3 linked regions of the Arabidopsis thaliana genome follow. The protein of the gene in region 2 interacts with the protein of the main gene of each other region in a pairwise test. Each region holds a gene or a part of one and is shown on either strand. Other genes may lie near its edges. The genes, in order: SAC3B, SAC3A and EER5.

Region 1 (5,744 bases), on a different chromosome or scaffold from region 2:
AATCAGGCAAGGCATCTCCCTTCAGGGCATCCCTACTTGATTCAAGCGAATTGAATGTTTGTTTGTTGTCCAGAGGCTTCATAGTTTTATTTACAGGTGATTTAGTAAGTTGAATATCAACAGGTCGGTCTGCAATAGGCTCCAGTTCACCCTTGAAGCGGGCCAGTCTCTTTGCCCTGGCTTGCTCTTCTCTATAAGAAATCCACACCGTTTAGAAAACTTTAAGAACTGGTCCACAGATTAATGCAAAGAGTCAATACTGCGTGATTAAATATTGTACCCTTCTGTACAATCTTGAGAAGGGAAAGAGTTTCGCGGGATATCCTCTTCAATTGGATATACAGGTGGAGATCTCGTCCTTTTTGTTGCAGGTGAACTGTTTGTCTTACGCGCATTATTGAAACTATTTACAGAGGAGGGCTGTCCAGGAAATTGAGAATCTGAACTTCTTGAAAGTGTATATGACTTTGTGCCTGACGTAGGTGGAGATGTCGAAAACCTATCACAGAAACAGCATGCTTAACTAGGAGGAAGCTCAAAGGCACATCAAACCAGATAGAGAAAAGTAGATTTGTTGCAATAGCATTAAGATAAAGCTGCAGGAGAAGTAAGCATGACTTCAAAGGCTAGTAGCAGAAAAATTTCCAAGCAACCATCTAAGTTTAAGGTGAATACGCTCATAAGCCGATTTGCTAAAGATAAAGTTTCTTAAGCCGATTTGCTAACGATAAAGTTTCTTAGGATTGTAACTCTATTCTATAATCGTGATTTCTCCTGCCATTCATACGTACACGTATGGCACAGAGTGGGTGAATAAAACATAATAAGCTTTAGAATGTACGATGAGATTCATGCTGTCTACCTTTGAGAGTCATGTTGAGACAATATGGGGTCATCTCCAAGGGGTTTATCAGAAGGTGCTACAGCCGAAGACTTTCTTCTAGTAGCTTCCTGAATTTCAGCTACTTCATGTGCATAGGGGAATGACGAGTTTCCGGTTTGTTCTTGATGAATCAACTGATTGGGATTGCTCCTCGACCTCACCGGATTATTCTCCGCAGAAGACGGAGAGCGCCTACACAAACATGAGAAAAGGTTCCAGGAAATAAGTTTCAAAAGTTAGTGAGAGGATAGAACAATAAATTAGTATAAAGATCAAGGAGCAAAGACACAGGTATGGTTCAAATCATTATCCACAAAGAGTAAAGACACCACAAAATGAAATATTTTATGACCTTTTTAAAACCAATCAAAACCAACAGCGAAAAGAGAATGAGAAACGAAAACATTATGACACTGACAAGAGGATAAAAAGCTCACATCCAAGTTCGGCTAGAAAGTGGCTGAAAACCATCTACCAAGTTTCCATTCTCAAAACCTGATACTGGCGATTGATTTCTTCGAGAAAACCCCATATTCTGGTCAGGAAGAATATCTGACCGACTGCAACAAAAATTGAGAATTTTATAGACCGATATTAGTTACATCAAAAAAACCAGGATATCAGTAAACACCATGGCCATGTCTATGACATCTCATTCATACCACCTAGGCCACACAACAAACTGATAAAATCTGAAAGAGTAAGATACATGATGCAGAACAAGGAAGGTGTAAACTCCCACAAGGACAGATGTTAAAAGGTTAAGGATAAGATAGGGATACAAAACAGACAGAATGTTTATTTCAGAAAGATCCTGCTGGCATAAATGACCTTGATCTAAAGGAAATGGCATAAACGACCTTTTTCTTTTTGAATCTTGTGATCGACCAATCTCAACAGCATCAGTTCCCATTCTGGAAAGAATGTGAGATGTAGCAGGTGGAGACGTGGCTCGACTATGTTCACCATGATCTTTCAAGAAATTCCTTGATCCATCGTGCCCATATTGAGGATTTAAATTAGGCCTGTGAGGAAAAATGAAGCAGGTAAATTCAGCTAAGTCGTTAAGAAAAATCCAGCAGCTTGCTTATTAAAGGCTATAAGCCAAATCCAGCGATAATGATCTCTTTAGAGCTTCAAAGCCGCTGCCATAGTAAGCCCTTATGTATTAGGCAGAGAAACTTATAGCACTCCGCCACACTCTACTTTCTTCCTACTGCTATAATTTCAATTGCAGAAACTGAAAGCATTTGAGATGTGTGATTAACACAGCCGCATATGAGTAATGACACTCTTCTTAGTCAAAATATGTCACGTACACTTTTACCTCTGAACTCCAGGAAATTGGTAAGGTCTCACAGAGGGGCTTGTACGTGAAGCTTCTGGACCCCATGCTATTCCATTGAAAGGTTCTGGGATCCTGAAAAACATAGCATCAAAGTGTTCTTATAACTTTCTCGGCGTAAAAATTAGTGCAACATATAGAAGATTCAAGCAGAAGTTTTACAAAAAGAATCAAAGCCAAAGAAAACAGAAAATTTGGTTTATCCCATCTTCACTGTTTTGGGTTCCCGAAGATCCTTTACAGGTATAAGGAGTGAAAAAAAAAAAAGAGAGCCATAATAGTAAGTTATCTGACCTTTGAATTCCACCAGGTTGGTAAGGTTGTCCTGAGGAGGGTGATGGATTTTGAAAAGCCGACGGAGATGGTATTCTATTAATTGGAGGAACACTGCAAGCAAAAACCATAATAACTTAGGCTAGAATCTAAAGAAGAAGAAAACCCGAGAGTAGACTGAAAAATTAATAATTGAATAAGTAACCAACCTAACATCATCATTAGACACATAGAACTGAAAGAGAAAAGGAATAAAAGCAAGCCATACGATTAAGAATGTCTAACCTTTGAACCCCACCTGGTCGGTAAGGTTTCCCTATAGAGAGCTGAGGGTTTTGAGAAGCCGACAGAGGTGGTGCTCGCTGAATTGAAGGACCACTACAAGCCAAAGTTACGAAAGAAAACTGAGCGAATTTACGAAAGAAAACTACAACAAGTAGCACAATAGGCTCTTCCTATGGAGGCTCAGAAACAACCTAACATACTCGCATAGAAAGAAATCAAAGCTGTAGAGCTAAGGTTAATCTAACCTTCGAATTCCACCAGGTCCAAAAGATTGTCCTGCAAAGGCTGAATGGTTTTGAGACGCCGGTGGTTGAATTGATGAATCACTACAAGCAAATCCAACATTCGCAGTGTGTAAGAATAAAAAAGAAAGGTACAATCTAAGAACAAAAAGCAAAGTAAAGCAACTCGCAGCTTCTCCTAAGGAAGATGAAGAAGCAAAACCCGACTGCCTAAGTGATATAGAACACAATATCATAGAAAATTCAAGATACTTCTCTCATTCTCATGATCCTAAACACTTTAATACAACGATAGCATATATGTAAATTTGACAGTTCAAAAAAATCTCTGAGTATAATAGATCCATAGCGTGAAATGAATCCTAAAAATCTCAAAACTCGAAGAAAAGTCCGATTGAAGCATAGATACATCTATAGAGAATGAAGAGCACACCTAGTGGTTGAAGAAGCACCGAACGGTGTAAACGGCGCTGGCTTAGAGCTCATCGGACCTAAGTCCTTCCCGAAAGGCCTAAACGCCATTCTCTGAGAAAATTCCTTGACTTGATTATCGCTGCCTCTCTTCTAATTCTCCTTCAACCTTCGTTTAATTACGTCGCCGGCTAAAGTCGAAACCGGAGCAAATTGAATTTTCTGTTCTGGTGACGCCTCTTCCGTCCGGCGAGGATTATTTTACGTTTAAAACCAACGACGTCGTTTTTATTTCCGAATTTTATGTTGGGCCTTTTAAGTAACAATAGGCTTATTATGGGCTTTGGTCAAGGAACAAGAATAATTGTTCAACCAAGAAGAACGTGCGCATGTTGTCACCATCTCCCTTGAGCCTCCTTGTTTTAGGTAGAACATCAACTTTTCATGACCGTTGACATTTTTTTTCCCTCTTTATTTTCCGAGAAAAAATAAATAAAATTATCCTCTAGTTTTCGATCTCGATCATCTGGATCCAAGAAATTACTACGATTGCTATAATGTCGATGTCTCGGCTCGGATTGTTGTTGTTCGTCGCTATATTGCTCGTCTTGCTTCAGTCTTCCACTTGTCTGATTAGTTCTCCAAGTTCTATCATCAATCCTTCTAAAGTCAAACAGGTTTCGTCGAAGCCCAGGTTTGATTTTACTCTTTCTCTTGTCTATTTAGTGAGAAATGAAGCAAATTTGGAAACTTTGAACCTCCAACTGTGTGTATTGACTGTTTCTTCAGGGCATTTGTGTATGAAGGTTTTTTGACGGACTTGGAATGTGATCATCTAATCTCTCTTGTGAGTGCGAATTTTGCTCTTTGGGTTTGAGCTCAAATTTGGAAACTTTTTGGCTTAAATGTGCTAGTTTCAGTATCTAATTTTGGTTTTTTTTTTTTTGGGGAAAGGCGAAAGAGAATCTGCAGAGATCTGCGGTTGCTGATAACGATAATGGCGAGAGTCAAGTCAGTGATGTTCGTACCAGCTCCGGCACTTTTATCTCCAAAGGAAAGGTGCAATTTTAATTCGGCACATCAGATCTCATTGAATGGCTTGATTGGAATTGATCTTGATTCTAATTTATGACACTCGACCTCAAGAACTCTGAATCTCTGATGTGATTTCTGATACTAATGGATCTGATAAGTCAAACCCCTCAAGATCTGATGGAAATAGAAATTTTAGAATAATTCAATCCAAAAGTTCACACACATATTGAACTGGTCATCAGAGTTTGATAAAATGATGTTGATAAGTCGAGATCTTAGTAAATTGACCCCAAATTGTGTTGATTTGTGATTGTTGTTTACTACTAAAAAGGTTTTAGGGTGATAGCTAGACATAAATTTACTTCTGTGTATGGATGAAGGATGATGAATGATACTTAGTGATTATTAGGAACAGATTTGAGAAATTTAGATATCTCAGTGTGATTACAATCTTAATGTGAAGCTTCGTTTGTTTAATGACAGGATCCTATTGTTTCCGGTATCGAGGACAAGCTCTCAACATGGACATTTCTCCCAAAAGGTAACTTTAACAATCTGAATGGTTTTTCAATAGTGGTCTCTCTGTTTCACAATGTCAATTGACAAGGAACCTTAACTGTTGTTGAGTTTCTTGAAAGGGTTTTTCAGAAGATATTATTGTTTCCTAAGTTCTTCACTTTGTGGTCACAGAAAACGGGGAAGACCTTCAGGTATTGAGATATGAGCACGGTCAGAAATATGATGCTCACTTTGACTACTTCCACGACAAAGTCAACATTGCCCGTGGTGGACACCGCATAGCAACGGTTCTCTTGTATCTGTCCAATGTCACAAAGGGTGGAGAAACTGTTTTCCCCGATGCACAGGTTTGTTGTTTTTCAGACAATACCACCAATTTCCGCTTACATTTCCACAATTGCTAATCTTGTATTGGTTCTCTATATACGTGGACAAATAGGTCTTTACTCTTTTTCTGTATGATGAATATTTCTGCGCAGGAATTCTCTCGCCGCTCGCTTTCTGAGAATAAAGACGATCTTTCTGATTGTGCAAAGAAAGGAATCGCTGGTGAGCTATATATAAAAGGAATCATGACTTGTTCTTTCCATGTTATCTCTAAGAATGTTTGTGTTTGATATTGGTTGGTAATGTTATTAGTGAAACCGAAGAAAGGGAATGCTCTGTTGTTCTTCAACCTCCAACAAGACGCAATCCCAGACCCCTTTAGCCTTCACGGAGGTTGTCCAGTGATCGAAGGAGAGAAATGGTC
Region 2 (8,666 bases):
ACTTTGTTACTAGGAAGCAAGAACAAGCGGAGGTGAAAACAACTAGAAGACCCAAATCAAAACATACTTGTATTTTCTGTTTGTAATTCCTTGAATTGTTTAATGAAAATGGTTTCTTTTCATATATATAAAAAGAGGTATGTCTCCTGGATTCCCTTATCTCAAAATCTTATAGAAGAATAAGGATTTCCATATTCACAAAAACGTCTTTACAAACAAATTTGACTTATCTTCCAAACGTTTCCTACTAACAGACTATCAAGTATTATAAACCTAATGTCATACCTGAGATTGTGTGTGTGAGCAGATAATGATGATGATGAAGCCAGAGAGCCTTGGATTATCTTCATTGGTCTCCTTAAGATCAAAAGATATGATGAACTTCGATTTTGCTTTTTCTGTTTCCATCAGACTATAACAAACATTAAAAATATTTCATCATGTACGTGTAAAAAAATCATTGACATCTAGATTTCGATCTCCATGAGCAACTGCGTCTTCGGGTTCTGGCATGAAGAGACTCGTTGATGTCGCCTGCACAAGGAATAACACAACCAGTTCTCAATCCATATCTTGAAAATAAGGATCTACAAGTTTCATAACAAACATATGGCAAATGCAAAAGAAGACTTACCTTGGTATCAAGAAGCATATCTCCGTTGCTGTCAGTAATGATGTTAGCACCATGAGTTTTTAGCCATTCCAAACAGTCCTCCATACCATCGGTCTCCTTTTCATCAGTACCTTCGCTTGCAGCACCAGTAAATCCCAACACTTGGACTATGTATGAGACCGGGATTGTAGGACGACAACTACGAGACATAAAATTCACAGCCTTGTAACGCATCTTCTCCACATAGAGATCTGCAAACATAACAATTTCACCATATCTTTACATATCTACTCATTCAATTGTTTAAATATATCAAGAGAGTTTTCATGTATCATATGACCCTTACCCATGAGGCAACTATTCATGTTTGGTGCAGTCTTGTAGAGTCTGAAGAACATAACATAATTCCCTGATGTGACAGCTGCACGAACTGAAAGAGCATGTCTAACTGCTTCATCCTTCTTATCTTCTTCGGATAATCTTCAAAACAGAGGTCACAAAATTACTCAATCTCATGCATACAAACCCAATTCAAAGAGGTAGTAGTAACCTCTTTGCACTGGTAGGAAGAGATGTTACAAAAACTCAACTATCAGGTAGGTGGACAGAACATTAATAATTCCATTACTAACTCAAAGAAATTGTGTAGCAAACCATATTCTGATATTTCTACAAAACCTTAATTTATAAAAAAAATTCCCATGAACCATGAATGCATCATGCTTAAAAGGAGCCCAGAGATGGGACTTTACAACTACTAACCTGGACATGGATGATAGCAGTTCTCGGTTGTTGTTAGAGTGTAGAGTAATATAGAGTAGACTGTACGCAGCAAACTCCAGAGAGCATCCTTCTACACCTTCCGCATAAAGAGTTTTTAACTGTGACAGGCACTGTAACAAAAAAAAAAATAGAAATCAATTTAGCAAGGCTATACATACCCTAAGAGTTATAGTCTCCTCAGGAATAGACAACAGATGTATTTTACAAGACTTGATGGAACGGTATCATTATATTGCAGAATCAATGCAAACAAAAGCCACAATCCATAGTAACCAGTCATCAGAACTATGCTCCCTTTTGCAAAGTTTCTCTCTGATTCAACACTTTATGTTGCTTTTTTATTTTTTAGAAAATGAGAGACCAGTGAAATTCTAGCAGTGGTTGATACTCTTTAAATTACGAAAAAGACAAAAGTGCTTGATACCGAATTTGAACTAGAAATTCTGATTGATCTATCAATCTATGCTAGCGTACCAACCTGATTATACTCAGGTAAATCCCCTGCCTCCAAAGCTAATCTAGCATGTGTTTCATAAACCTGAAATTGAGATTGCACATGGAACCATTATAAACATGCTAATTGGGTGTAAATAAGATAAACGTTCCAACAGGAAATGAATCCTACATGCAATAACACTCGACATTATTGGAAGTCAGTTATGTACCTTAGCTGTTAAATGATTGTGTATCCGTTGTACTGTGAGGTCTTGGCGAATAGACTTTAGTTGATCACATTTAAAAAGATAATTCTTTTGAGAATCCTGAACCATTATCAGAGCTTTTTCCAAAACATCCTCTGGTCTTACCTGAAAATAAGTCAATCAAAAATATCAGTCATGGTGTCAAAAAGAATACTAGGTATAAGAATATAAGATAGTAATATTTACGGTGGCAGGATCTGGCGCAGAAGTCAGACGGAGATAACGTTTCTCAATTTCCTGGCAAGTGCCTTTAACAGTTAGTGCATCCCAGTCAATGTCTTCCACAGCTCTGCTGCCACTTTCATCAAAAACTTTGCTAAGCCTCAAGGCAGTGGCTCTTCTAGAATGCAAATTTCCAACATTTGCATTCTTAGGTTTTGTAAGATCATTCCCTCGGCTGTGGCCTTGAATTTTTTCAAAACGCTTGGAACGACTATCACGTCGCTTCTTTTCCTCGGCAGAACCAGCAAGTGCCATTGCACTGGAATAGTAAGGTGTCAAATCCTTGTCACTATCACTAGATGCCTCATCATCAATGGCAGTAGCTGCACCACCAGAAAAACGCTGTCGCTTGACAGGCCGCTGGAAACTTTTTTTTGCAGAATTTTGCCCAGAATAAGTGGGCTTGAAGCCAGTGGCAGCATCCACCTTTTGAAAACTCTCAGAGCTCTGCAAAATTTCCGATTATCAGAACGACTGCAAAAACCGAGTTCTAACAGCTAAAACATTAGACCAACTGCTAAATGCCTCATTAAACCAACAGCTAAATGCCTTCTTTTCAATTCCTTCAACCAGACATTAATAAATAATAAGGAAGAGATTGGTTAACCTTTTTGTTGTTTTCATTTTGGTGATTCCAAACTCCAAATTTAACAGCACTGCTGAAAGTTGAAGCTGGCTTCACAAAAGGTTTTCCTTCCACCAACGGCTCCCATCTACTTTTGGGTCGTCTTGTTGGGCTCTTATTTTGTAACGAAGAGAGCTGAGCGGAGCTTGACCTATGGCACAGTGTAAAACTTAGTGGGCAAAACATATGAAGTAAGTGTTCCAGACATATCATATAGAAGAACGAAAGTTATAGATCATGCAGGCAGCAGTGGATGGAGGAAAAAAGGTCGTACTCAGAGTTAGTCACATTTGTGGTCGTGACAGTTGAGAGAGGCTCAGTATCCCAATCTCGAGTATAAAGAGTATTATCCTCCTTTGCTTTTTTGACAATCTAGAGATACAAAAATAAGCATTAGCAATGCAAAGCAACCATAAATTAACATGGTATTCAAATAACTGCTATATGATTTCTTCCATAAAAGGCATGAAATTATCTTAAACATACTACAAATCTACTCGAAAGATCAAGTTGAAGAAGTTCATCCAAATTTTGCAATAATATTAAGATGAGCAGAGTGTGTAACTAAAATCATCTATCATGCTACAATAGTCCAACAACCAGAGCGTCTACAATTCCTACTAACATTTACCTTCCTCAGGGCAACCTCGCAAGATTCCTTTTCTTTATCATCTTTGCAGCGGGCAAAAGCCCTCTCAACAAACCCACGAAGCGATTTTGGGAAGGTTCCAGGCTACAAGCATCGGCATTATTTGTTTCCAATGTCAATTACTCAATTGTGAGAAAGAAACAATTACTCAACACACAAATTTATGGTGGCCAACATTTAATATCTACTTCATTTGCTAGGTCATCAAGATTTGAATAAAGGATTCTTACGTCAGACATAGCAGTGGTATGGTCTTTAGGCTTTGGCATTGAAACACTAACATATGCAGGTGCTTGGGCTGCACTGGCTGCTGTACTATCTTTATCCATTTTGGTAAAACCTGATGGCAAGTTTGAAGCAATTCTAGGGTTAGTTGGAATCTGTACTTTGCTTACCCTTTGTGAATCCACTAACGGTGCTGTCTGAGTAGGCTGGCGATAGCCTAACGGTGCCTGGTGAAAGGAAGACTGGGAGTTCATCTCTTGAGGATATGTAGCTCTCTGATGACCCTGAAAGGGAGTCTCGTATAAAGGTTTTGTCTCCAGAGGACTCTGGTAATTATTTTGAGGTGGAACAGGATGATGAGCTTGCAGACTTGGTGCTTGATGCATCCAGTAAGTATCATTAGATGTACTAACAGCTGCACCAGGCTGAGAGAATGATGATAAAATGATTACTAAGTTAGTATTCAATAAAAAGGACCCCCATGAAAGAAAGCAATCAGAGATCATGTCTAAACTGTCTGCAAATAAAACATTTAAGAATTGACTCTATGCAGTATTGCTTGGTAGCTAACAGGTCAGTTACTATCACTCTTTTCCCAACTTAGTTGATTTATAAGGACAATAACACACATTTTATCAAGTAGCTGAAAGCAGAAAAGCATTCTAAACTCAAATAAGCTTAAGGGCGCAAATTTACTCTACTCCCTCATGAAAGTAATATCTGAACCTGTTGAGAAGGTGGATGGGATGAGTCAGTTTCCGGCCTCCAAGGTTGGACATAAGACGGGGCAGGCTGACTATTTGAAGCAGGCATTTCACTAGTAACACCAGGAACTGGAAAGCTCTGACTATATGCACTTGTGGTTGGGGTAGACAGCTTTTCTGTGCCTGGGGCACAGGGGACTTCTGTTTGGCTGTAATATTCTGTCCATTGTTGGTAGTTCTGTTGATAATGTACAGGTGGTGTGGTCGCAATAGTAGAGCTATGTGTGTTAGCAGCATCAGGAGTATAATTTTGATAAGGGTTTGAGGTGTAATCCGTATAGTTTCCCTGGTTCGAAGCAGGAGTCTGATTGCTGTAATTTGTACTTGGGTAACTTCCAGCCGTTTGGTTGTTATAGTTCGTACTTTGGTAACCTCCAGCAGTCTGATAATCAGCAGGATTGTAGTAAGTTCCTGAATAACTTGGAGTCCCAGCATAAGATCCTGGATTCTGAAATGAGGAAAGAGGCTGAGGAGCACCTGTGTTTTGATAAGCCCCTACAGGCTGAGGATATGACTGGCTAGGTTGCTGTTGATAGCCACTGTAGTAATTGGAATATCCCGTGTTTGAATAGTTGTGTGGGTCAGAAGAGGTCTGGTATGGCGTATATCCACTATAATCTTGTGCCACATTTGCAGTTCCGGACGTCGATGAGATAGTGAAGGATACAGTATTCGGTATCTCTTGCACATTGCCTGTGGCTGGCCCTGTCGGCTGTGGATGGTAATAGTTTGAATTTGAATAGTTCCCATTCTCCACAGCCTGATTTTCAACAGAATGCCCTGTCCATGGGGCACTTTCAGACCCAGTTGAGTATTGATATGAATATTTCTGTGTTTGGCTTCCATCAACACCATATCGATTCTGCATAAAAGAAAAAACATTAGTACTGGCCAAGGTCTGAGAATCTTCATTTAACAAGTAGACATAAACAAAAAGTTGAAGAGTGAAAAGAAACATAGACAAACAACAAACAGAAATGTCATCTCAGATAAAGACTACATTAGGATGCTAAAGCCTCCCACAGTCTCAAATCAATCTGATTGAATCAAACAATAAAACTGCAAATTTCCATGAAGTAAGTGATCAGCAGCTAAGTTTCGTAACAATACCTAACACCTAATAGAAAATGTTGTACTTTGCATCATTGAGCTGTATTCATAACATATTACTAGTGAAAATCATACGGCTCCACAGAATTGATGATAGGTCTATTCTTAAAGCAGAAACTGATTTTCTGAAATGTTCCAAGAGTTCACATACGGAGCCTAGAATCAAAGTCACTTTTTTTCTGCTGCATAAACATACTGACATGCAAAATTCCTCTAACCATTACAATGGTGAACTAACAACAAGCATAACTTTCATATCTACCAAGTTAAATCTGGAGCAAACTAAAATAAACAAATTCAATTCGCAAAAATTGAACCAATGCACGAAATTTCACTTGCATATAAAGACTAAATAAATCTGCAAATTGGAAAAATTTAAGCTTAAAAGAAAGAGAAGGCGCAAGAGATTGTTAATTACCTCAATGGAATTAGGGTCCATTGGTGCTACGGCCTGAGTGTTCCCTCCGTGATTCATGCTTTATCATCAACGTCCTGAAAAATCATCACACATACGATTGAACTTACTTCCCAATGAACATAGCAGAAAAACTAAATTCATTCATTGAAAAGCCCTAAATAGCAAATCAGAGATAAAGCGTCAAGAATATGTACCAGTGAAGCTCCAATTTGTGTCTTCTTCGTTCGGATGAAGAATCGAATTGAAGATAGTAGAGCAGAGCAGGATTTGAGATCAAAACCAAAAACAAGGTAACAAAAGGAAACGAATAGAACCGGAACAACAACAAAAAAAAAAAAGGCAGATAAAAATAAAAAGCTAAAGGGAAACAATCAAAGAGAGTTGTCAAAATCTATCGGAAATTACAGAACACGGAGAAAATCGAGGAATCTTGCCGAAGAAGAACAATTTTGTTGTGCCGGAGACGAAGATTGTCAAATTTTTACGGTATACTAGCGTCGTCGGGTCGGTTCGGTTGCGGATCAGGTTTAGTCTTTCCGGGTCGGGTTTTTATATAGCCACTAATTGGGCCCATTATCTTTCGGACTTGCCTTTTCTTAGTGGATCTGAAGAATGCAAAAAAAAAAAACAACGTCGACAAATGAAATAACAAGCATAGTAAATAATTAAATATATAAGATTTCGAATGTTTACGGTTGTGTTGACGTCAAAAAAGAAAACATTTATATGATAAGTATTTGGGTTAAATATATAGTCTATATAAGTTTTGGTTGAATCAATGTTTAGTTTAGACAAATCTTGTATTGTATATCGTTACATGTAATTTAGCTTAGGTCATGAATTTAATGTAGTTGCTTCTATCGCCAACCCTTTTGGCCAAGAAATCCGGCAAAAATAAAAAGTGCTTAACATGTAGTATAGCAATCACAACAATCTCTAGAAACTAATTGAGTGATTGGTTGAGATAAATCTAATAAGTGAAAGAAATTAACCATAGAAACAAGCTATTGGTGATGAACGGAGTAGCTATCTAAAATATGACTACACTATAAATCGACACAATATTCGAGAAAACAATCATTATCCAACATATATATATATATATATATATATATATATGAATTCGAAATTCGTATGTACAGATTATGTTCTACGCGAAAGTGTCAAATGTTTAGTAAGAAATCGGGTTTTAATCCATATAATAGATATCAAGGTAAGATTATACTGTTGCGGTGATTATTATATCGGTGAGGATAGAATATTGTGGCTGTGACTTTGTAACGTTAAAAGTTTAAGACAAGAGAGGAAAGTTTATGAGCAAGTAGGGTAGGATATATAGATGAAATAAACGTGAGAAATGAATATGTGGATGCAATTTCAGTTTGTTGTGTGGGGCTTGTTTAATACTATACAGTATACTTATATCGTCATTGATTTATATAGTACACCTATAATAGAGCTATCAACATCACACTATAAATATTTACCCTACCATGCATTAGTTGATTCCTCTATCTGCGATTAGTGGAAAATTTTGGTATTTTATTGCGATGTATATGAATAGGGTACAATGTTGTCATGGTAGTATTAGTTTATTACCAATCACATATCCAGCTTAGGAAATGATTATAAAGCTATGCATTCATACTTGGACTAACAAATAGTTTAGTTTGTTTTTTTTTCATTTTTAAGGATTAATTTGGTGATTCAAAATGGATGAGGATCTAGCGGAAGTTGGCACTTTGCGGTGATGAAGGAGGACGTGAATGGGACGACGATGTAAACAGTATATGAAAAATATTATAACAAAATTTCTTTGTGAAACAAAATTGTTTTGTTCCTCTGTTCATTACAATCATGGATGTCTCCATCTGACAACTTGTAATATGCTAGTATTATTGGACTCTTATCAAAATCATCTATTGCTTTATTTGTTAGAACCTCTCGTCTCGTGACATATCGTCCAGAATGATAACATGCAGCCAGGATGCTCTTGAGATCTCTAATATATTTTGGGTTAGTTTGGCTATTTCTCTTCTAATATGACTTAAATTACAAATTATGGGGATTGGTTTGGCCTTGTAAAATGTTTTCCTTCTCATATTCTTTTTGAAGGAAAAGTAAAGGGAACAGAAAAAGGTCAATCATGATTTAGTTACAACTTACAAGTATAACTAAATTATTGGAATCAACAAAAACGTGTTCCAAATTGTATCAATAAATAGACATAGTTGATAGTTCCTTAATTTCATTCTGAATAAGATCAAGAATTTACAGGTTCTCTCTTCTCTCTCTCTCAAGTTCTGATTTGTTTATACAAATTACAACTTTAGTTTCGTAAATAGGTACTCATTAGTTGATCATTGCTCTCTATGTCTTGCTATGCAATTCAATAGGCTAGTGTATCACCAATCACAGATCCGGGATCCCGGCTTAGTAAACATTATAAAGCTTGAATATACACTTTATTTGGATTTGGATAATTTAGTTAAAAAATTCATTTTACAGTATTTGAAAAAATACAAAATGGCGAAAATCTACCGGAAGTTGACAGGC
Region 3 (6,656 bases), 8.0 Mb from region 2:
CAGCATCCATTTCATAATTCCTCATTTCCCGGATCTCTCCCATCTAAAAATAACCCGACCCATTTACGCGACCCAAACCGGATCAACCCGCAATGGATAAGCCAAGCTTCGTAATCCAATCCAAAGAAGCAGAATCCGCCGCGAAACAACTCGGCGTTTCCGTCATTCAGCTCCTCCCGTCGCTAGTCAAACCAGCACAATCCTACGCTCGAACTCCGATTTCGAAATTCAACGTCGCAGTCGTCGGACTCGGATCATCAGGTCGGATCTTCTTAGGCGTCAATGTCGAATTCCCAAATCTCCCTCTCCACCACTCAATCCACGCCGAACAGTTCCTCGTCACCAATCTCACACTCAACGGTGAACGTCATCTCAATTTCTTCGCCGTCTCCGCCGCACCATGTGGCCATTGCCGTCAATTCCTCCAAGAAATTCGCGACGCACCTGAAATCAAAATCCTTATCACCGATCCAAACAACTCCGCCGATTCCGATTCCGCCGCCGATTCAGACGGATTCTTACGTCTCGGAAGCTTCTTGCCACACAGATTCGGTCCCGACGATCTTCTCGGGAAAGATCATCCTCTTCTTCTCGAATCTCACGATAACCATCTCAAAATCTCAGATCTGGATTCGATTTGTAACGGAAACACCGATTCATCCGCCGATTTGAAACAAACGGCTTTAGCGGCGGCGAATAGATCGTACGCGCCGTATAGTTTATGTCCATCGGGAGTTTCGCTGGTGGATTGTGACGGGAAAGTGTACAGAGGTTGGTATATGGAATCGGCGGCGTATAATCCTAGTATGGGACCAGTACAGGCGGCGTTGGTTGATTATGTGGCTAATGGTGGTGGAGGAGGATACGAGAGGATCGTCGGAGCGGTTCTGGTGGAGAAAGAAGATGCGGTGGTGAGGCAAGAGCACACGGCGAGGTTGTTATTAGAGACTATATCGCCGAAATGCGAATTCAAAGTGTTTCATTGCTATGAAGCTTAGAGAATCATTTAATTATCCGAAAAATAAAGGAATTTTAAAAAAAAAGGAATAAAAAGAAAATGAGACTTTTTAATTCTTAAAAGTGTTGAAATTGACGGAAAAAAAAAAAGTGTTGAAATTGATGTGATGGATAACACATAGAGAATAAGAAAAGTTTATATTTTTAAATTTGTTAAAAATGTTTATTGTATTAAAAAATTAAATTTAATACAATTATTATGTTTATGGAGTATTGTTAAAAAAAAAATTGTTGATATTAAATTTTTCCATTTTTTGATATTTTTTTTTAATATCCCCTTTGAAAATTTAATTTCGTCTATAAGGGATGGATTATGTGGATTAGATCAAATCGGCCAAATTTTATAAAATTGACAAGGTTTTCAAAAGTCTCAAATCGAATCAATGATTTTTTTTTTTACATGTCAAGTTATGATGTTTCTTTTATGTACGCAAAAAGGCAAAAATAAATGAACGTAATGATGGCTTTACACATTGAATTTGTTGGAATAAAGGTTCCAAATACGAAGTATGAGAAAGTAGAGAATATAAGATGGTCCACATGCAACTCTTACTATGAGTGGTGAACAATGAATCTAAAGATTTTTAGATTAGTTTCAAATGGAATGCTTTTTAAATAAAATGATATATAAGAGCATATTTTAGTAGGAACCTTCATACCAAAAATAAAGTAGGAACCTTAAAAACCTCTCAAGTTTCTCGTTATCTTCAACTTTTAGCATTACACATAAATACTAATCCTGGATTGACTTCTCTCAACTCAAAATTTCTATTAATTGTGTGTTCAAGAATAAAATATATTGATAATTATATGATTAGCGTGATTTTTATTTATTTATTTATCATGTACATGTAGTAGAGGCCTTTGCTAACTATGAAAGAAGGGGAATATCAATGGGAATATATAGAAGTGTGAAAGTATAAATCACATTTGGAAACAAGTGATTTATTTGATCAGTTAATTACTTTTGACAAGTTGATTATATTCATTTCTTCGAGTTTTTGGCAACTTGTTGAGTTATATGCATGGTATAAATTGATTTCATGTCCCTTCAAGAAAGTTCCTCACGTCACCATCGGGCTAAGAAGACATATTTACATACAGATGTCAACATTACGGACGATTACATGAACTTAAAAAACCTTAAAGCAAATTAATCATGATCTATAAAACGATTATATGAACTTAAAAACTCTAAAAAAAATTCATGATCAGTACCACCGATTACAGGAACTTTAAAATCCTTCCAACACTAATGATATTTTCAAATCCTTTACAAATAAATTTTCAAACATTTTAATGATTGTATTTCATATGGGCCTTAAATGGCCCAACTAACATATGTCAATAAGTCTAATACCAGAAAAGACTAGTACGTAGTAACAATTTAGTTAATTACCAAACGCCGTCGTTTTTCTCAACTCCGTTATTTCCTTTTTTTTCCTGGCGACTTATTTGATTTCGTGTCTCTCTCAAAGAATAAGGAAGACGCAGACGAAGAAGGTGACAATGGCGTACGTTAGTATGGGTGAAGCTCACCGGAGAATCACTGAATACCTAAACCGATTCTGCGACGCCGTTTCGTACCAAGACTCTTCTACACTTTGCCGTCTCCTCTCTTTCTCTTCCAATTCTCCACCTCTTCTCTCACTCGCCGACGCACTCAACGTCTTCCAGGTACATATATTCTCTGTTAAATCGAGACCCATGATTCAAATTAGCAGCTTGGAGTATGTTCCTGTGATTAGTGGCATGATCCTTGTAAATTGGTAAAGTTAGGTTCGATTTCAAATCCAGGATGCTTCTGATATGTTCCGATTGGGTTCTCGTATGAATTGTGAACACTAGGAGCATGGTTTTTATGTTAGCAAAGTTTGTAACTTTTAGGTTAAATCGATTCAATGTAAGATCCTTAAGAGTATGATTTTCTAATTGGGTCCTCCTACTTCACCAATGAGTATGAATTTCTGAATTTAGGGCTCAAAACACTAGGAACATTATCTTTATGTTAGCAAAGTGTGTATCTTTTAGGTTCAATCAATGTCAATCTAGGATCCTCCTACTTCACTAATGAGTATGATTTTCCAATTGGGTCCTCCTGCTTCACCAATGAGTATGAATTTAGGCCGTGAAAGTGTCTCCTATTGAGTTGTTGTAGTGAACACTCTATGTCTATGTTTGAGTTTATGAGTATGGATTTTAGATTTAGGGTTTTTATTTATATGTAGAGAGCTGTGAAAGTGCTGAATCCTTTGAGTTTTCTTTTCTTTGACTGATACAGGATTCTAGCAGTTTGATTAGACAGTCTGATAGATTCTCTGAATATGGCGAGATTCTGGCTCATGTGTTTCGTTCTCTACAAAGTTACCGAGTTGGGAATCTAGTCGAAGCATACCTTGCTTTCGATAAGTTTGCCAAGTAAAGTCTTCTTGTTCCTCTCTGCTCCTCTATTGATGTCTAATATGATTTCAGGGTGATAAGCTTTTTTTTTTGTCTGTTCACAATGTCTGATATCTGATGGATTCTATATGTGCAGTGCATTTGTTCAGGAGTTTCGTAATTGGGAATCTGCTTGGGCATTGGAAGCTCTGTATGTAGTTTGTTATGAAATTCGAGTTCTTGCGGAAAAGGTAGTATCTCATTTGTATATCCCTTTTTCAAAATCTTAACCTTGTCTGGTTTCATTGTGTCGAGGAGTCAGTTCTGAAAGCATGATTTTTCCACATGGAATTGCAGGCTGATAAAGATTTAACTTCTAATGGAAAGTCTCCAGAGAAATTAAAAGCAGCTGGGTCTCTTCTCATGAAAGTTTTTGGAGTTCTTGCTGTAAGTTTTCCCTTTGATCTATCTATATATCTTCAGGAATATTAGTTTATATTTGTGTTCAATATTTTTTCCGGCTCCTTATGTAGTTTTAAACTATAGGGGAAAGGTCCAAAACGAGTCGGAGCATTATATGTGACTTGCCAATTGTTCAAGACCTACTTTAAGGTGATATGCTTTCTGGCAACAGTTTGATATTTATGATTTAACCATTAAATGGAGTACTAAACAGGTATCCCCAATTTTGTATTTTAGCTTGGAACCGTCAATCTTTGTCGAAGTGTAATAAGAAGTATCGAAACTGCTCGGATATTTGACTTTGAGGAGTTTCCAAGAAGAGATAAGGTCTGGCGCAGTTCTCTGCAAACAGTTTTAGTTTTTGGCCTCCTTATTCGGTTACTTATTATCTTCTGTTTATTCTTCGCAAACACCAGGTTACATACATGTATTATACCGGCCGATTAGAAGTCTTCAACGAAAATTTTCCTGCTGTGAGTCACTAAGAGATTTTTTCTTACCATCACAGTTCATTTCGTAGTGTCAATCCAAATATTGATAGTAACATTTAATCTCTTTTTTTGGATCTTGCAGGCTGATACAAAGCTATCATATGCCTTGCAAAATTGCAACCCCAAAAGAGAACGAAATATAAGGTCTGATTCTGGTTTTACTCTGTGATTACCTTACTCTTGCATTGCGTTGCTTAATCAGCTAATGTGGCCTTATGTGAATCAGGATGATATTAAAGTATTTGGTACCGGTGAAGCTTTCTTTAGGAATTATACCAAAAGATGAGCTCCTGCGAAATTATAATCTGCATGAGGTAACGACTTTTCTGTTGTTCTATAAAATTTTCTTCGAATCTATGTCAAAACTTATTTCGCATCTGCTGAGTGATATCATATCTCTCTTAATCCTATTTCTCTACGTGTCCAGTACACAAAGATTGTGCAAGCTCTGAGAAAGGGTGATCTAAGGCTTCTCCGGCATGCTCTTCAAGAACATGAAGATCGGTATGTATTTCTTTCGATATCTTGCTTTTCTCATCTAATCCAAATGATAGAGTCCTTGTGGATACTCTAGAGCATGAGTATTGGAATTAGTATAGGCTGCTTGTAGTGGATTATATAGCTCTGCTGACAGGTCAGTAACACCTGGTTCTTAGGTAGAGAGCTAACAGGTTAAAAGAAAATTGGGGCAGAAAGAGTTGGGATGTTCTGGATTTGTCTAGGGGTTAGGATTTGCAGTTGGGTCGAGAGTAGAGTTGTGCAAGTCTCTATATGATGAGTATTTTGATTCTATCACCGAACAACTTAATATCTCGATCTAATACTCTTCTTTTATACAGGTTCTTGAGGTCGGGTGTGTATCTTGTCTTGGAAAAGCTAGAGCTCCAAGTCTACCAGAGACTCATGAAGAAAATGTAAGCAAAGACAAGCTATGATACCATCCAAGATTCTTGAGTTTATAACTCTTATTATTATCAATGTTTCAGTTATATAAACCAGAAGCTGAGTGATCCAGCGAGAGCTCACCAGCTGAAGCTTGAAGGGATTGCCAAAGCACTAAGATGGCTAGATATGGACATGGATCTGGACGAGGTTTGTTCTACAATACCATCCCATTCATTGCTTTTGACTTCTTCTAAAATTGAAATCTTCTATAAACTCACAGTTGTCAAAATAATACTGTATTTGCAGGTGGAATGTATAATGACGATATTGATATACAAAAACCTTGTGAAAGGTTATTTAGCTCACAAGAGCAAAGTGGTAGTTCTAAGCAAGCAAGATCCTTTCCCTAAACTAAACGGGAAGCCTGTTAGCTCATAAGTCTTCACGTGTTATTTTTTTTGTTGTATCAACAAACACTTTTTATTTTCTAATTGTGTGTAAAATTCATTCAAACAAAAAACAAAAACTGTTTTTACAATAGAAATGTGACTTTAAAACTGTGGAGTTTTCACCATGGTTGAGGAGTCTACTTACGAGTAAGGTCCAAATTTCCACTGAATATCGACATGAGAAGAATAAGTGATTACGAGTTTTAGTTTAGCAAAAAAAAGAAAAAGTGATTACGAGTCTCATTCGTATCTCCACAGAAAAATGCAATTTGATCTTTGGCGAGAGTTCCAGTTCCATACTTCCATTACCTTATTCTTTTTACATCAATAGGGGGCCTCATTGTTTTCTTCTCTACGATTACCACCTGAAGCAAAAAGACGATGAAGCCAACGAAGATCGTGATTCCGAACCGCCGCAACGAGAAGCTCGTGGGTCTGCTTCACGAAACTGGATCAAAAGAAGTTGTGGTCTTATGCCATGGCTTTAGATCGGACAAGACCAACAAGATTCTCAAAAACGTGGCTACAGCTTTGGAGAAAGAAAAAATCAGCTCTTTTCGTTTCGATTTCTCTGGTAACGGAGATAGTGAAGGAACTTTCTATTATGGTAACTTCAACAGTGAAGCAGAGGATGATCTGCATTACGTTATTCAACACTTGTCCTCCTCTAACATCATGAACCGTCTAGTTCCTGTCATTCTTGGTCATAGTAAAGGTGGTGATGTCGTTCTTCTCTATGCTTCCAAGTTTCCCGATTATATCCGCAATGTCGTCAATATCTCTGGACGTTTTGATCTTAAGAATGATGTGCGTCTCGGAGATGGTTATATAGAAAAGATTAAGGAACAGGGGTTTATTGATGCTACAGAGGGCAAATCTTGTTTTCGTGTTACTCAAGAGTCTTTAATGGATAGGTTAAACACTGATATGCATCAAGCTTGTCTCAATATTGATAAACAATGCAAAGTTTTGA

Evidence for each region.
Region 1: the proteins of SAC3A (region 2) and SAC3B interact in a two-hybrid assay, tested with the Arabidopsis thaliana proteins (one study listed by BioGRID).
Region 3: the proteins of SAC3A (region 2) and EER5 interact in binary tests that used the Arabidopsis thaliana proteins (3 or more experiments, as listed by UniProt).

What each region holds. Positions count from the first base shown.
Region 1 is NC_003074.8:1,903,748-1,909,491, forward strand, and holds the start of SAC3B (SAC3/GANP/Nin1/mts3/eIF-3 p25 family), read right to left. Parts: upstream 3,551-5,744; coding exon 3,462-3,550; intron 3,167-3,461; coding exon 3,032-3,166; intron 2,880-3,031; coding exon 2,787-2,879; intron 2,616-2,786; coding exon 2,523-2,615; intron 2,304-2,522; coding exon 2,211-2,303; intron 1,951-2,210; exon of another isoform or gene 1,909-1,950; coding exon 1,744-1,908; intron 1,444-1,743; coding exon 1,321-1,443; intron 1,076-1,320; coding exon 863-1,075; intron 500-862; coding exon 281-499; intron 220-280; exon of another isoform or gene 192-219; coding exon 1-191. Other genes in the region: P4H2 (P4H), read left to right, coding at 3,997-4,133, 4,229-4,286, 4,394-4,498, 4,958-5,015, 5,165-5,340, 5,473-5,542, 5,633-5,744. UniProt on the Arabidopsis thaliana protein: Component of the TREX-2 complex (transcription and export complex 2), a muliprotein complex that functions in docking export-competent ribonucleoprotein particles (mRNPs) to the nuclear entrance of the nuclear pore complex (nuclear basket).
Region 2 is NC_003071.7:16,421,544-16,430,209, reverse strand, and holds SAC3A (SAC3/GANP/Nin1/mts3/eIF-3 p25 family), read right to left. Parts: upstream 6,670-8,666; 5' UTR 6,305-6,669; intron 6,185-6,304; 5' UTR 6,168-6,184; coding exon 6,111-6,167; intron 5,445-6,110; coding exon 4,545-5,444; intron 4,244-4,544; coding exon 3,824-4,243; intron 3,678-3,823; coding exon 3,576-3,677; intron 3,317-3,575; coding exon 3,219-3,316; intron 3,096-3,218; coding exon 2,927-3,095; intron 2,767-2,926; coding exon 2,284-2,766; intron 2,203-2,283; coding exon 2,062-2,202; intron 1,935-2,061; coding exon 1,875-1,934; intron 1,507-1,874; coding exon 1,376-1,506; intron 1,354-1,375; exon of another isoform or gene 1,170-1,353; intron 1,094-1,169; coding exon 960-1,093; intron 865-959; coding exon 635-864; intron 535-634; coding exon 439-534; 3' UTR 102-438; downstream 1-101. Other genes in the region: ABCG1 (ABC-2 type transporter family protein), read left to right, coding at 1-36; JAL23 (jacalin-related lectin 23), read left to right, coding at 8,493-8,666. UniProt on the Arabidopsis thaliana protein: Component of the TREX-2 complex (transcription and export complex 2), a muliprotein complex that functions in docking export-competent ribonucleoprotein particles (mRNPs) to the nuclear entrance of the nuclear pore complex (nuclear basket).
Region 3 is NC_003071.7:8,464,940-8,471,595, reverse strand, and holds EER5 (proteasome family protein), read left to right. Parts: upstream 1-2,450; 5' UTR 2,451-2,526; coding exon 2,527-2,694; intron 2,695-3,298; coding exon 3,299-3,435; intron 3,436-3,524; exon of another isoform or gene 3,525-3,545; coding exon of another isoform or gene 3,546-3,553; coding exon 3,554-3,647; intron 3,648-3,753; coding exon 3,754-3,843; intron 3,844-3,942; coding exon 3,943-4,008; intron 4,009-4,095; coding exon 4,096-4,185; intron 4,186-4,274; coding exon 4,275-4,331; intron 4,332-4,431; coding exon 4,432-4,493; intron 4,494-4,575; coding exon 4,576-4,663; intron 4,664-4,776; coding exon 4,777-4,853; intron 4,854-5,188; coding exon 5,189-5,263; intron 5,264-5,335; coding exon 5,336-5,441; intron 5,442-5,540; coding exon 5,541-5,672; 3' UTR 5,673-5,906; downstream 5,907-6,656. Other genes in the region: CDA1 (cytidine deaminase 1), read left to right, coding at 93-998; AT2G19550 (alpha/beta-Hydrolases superfamily protein), read left to right, coding at 6,065-6,656. UniProt on the Arabidopsis thaliana protein: Involved in the regulation of ethylene response. Probable TREX-2 component required for nuclear RNA export.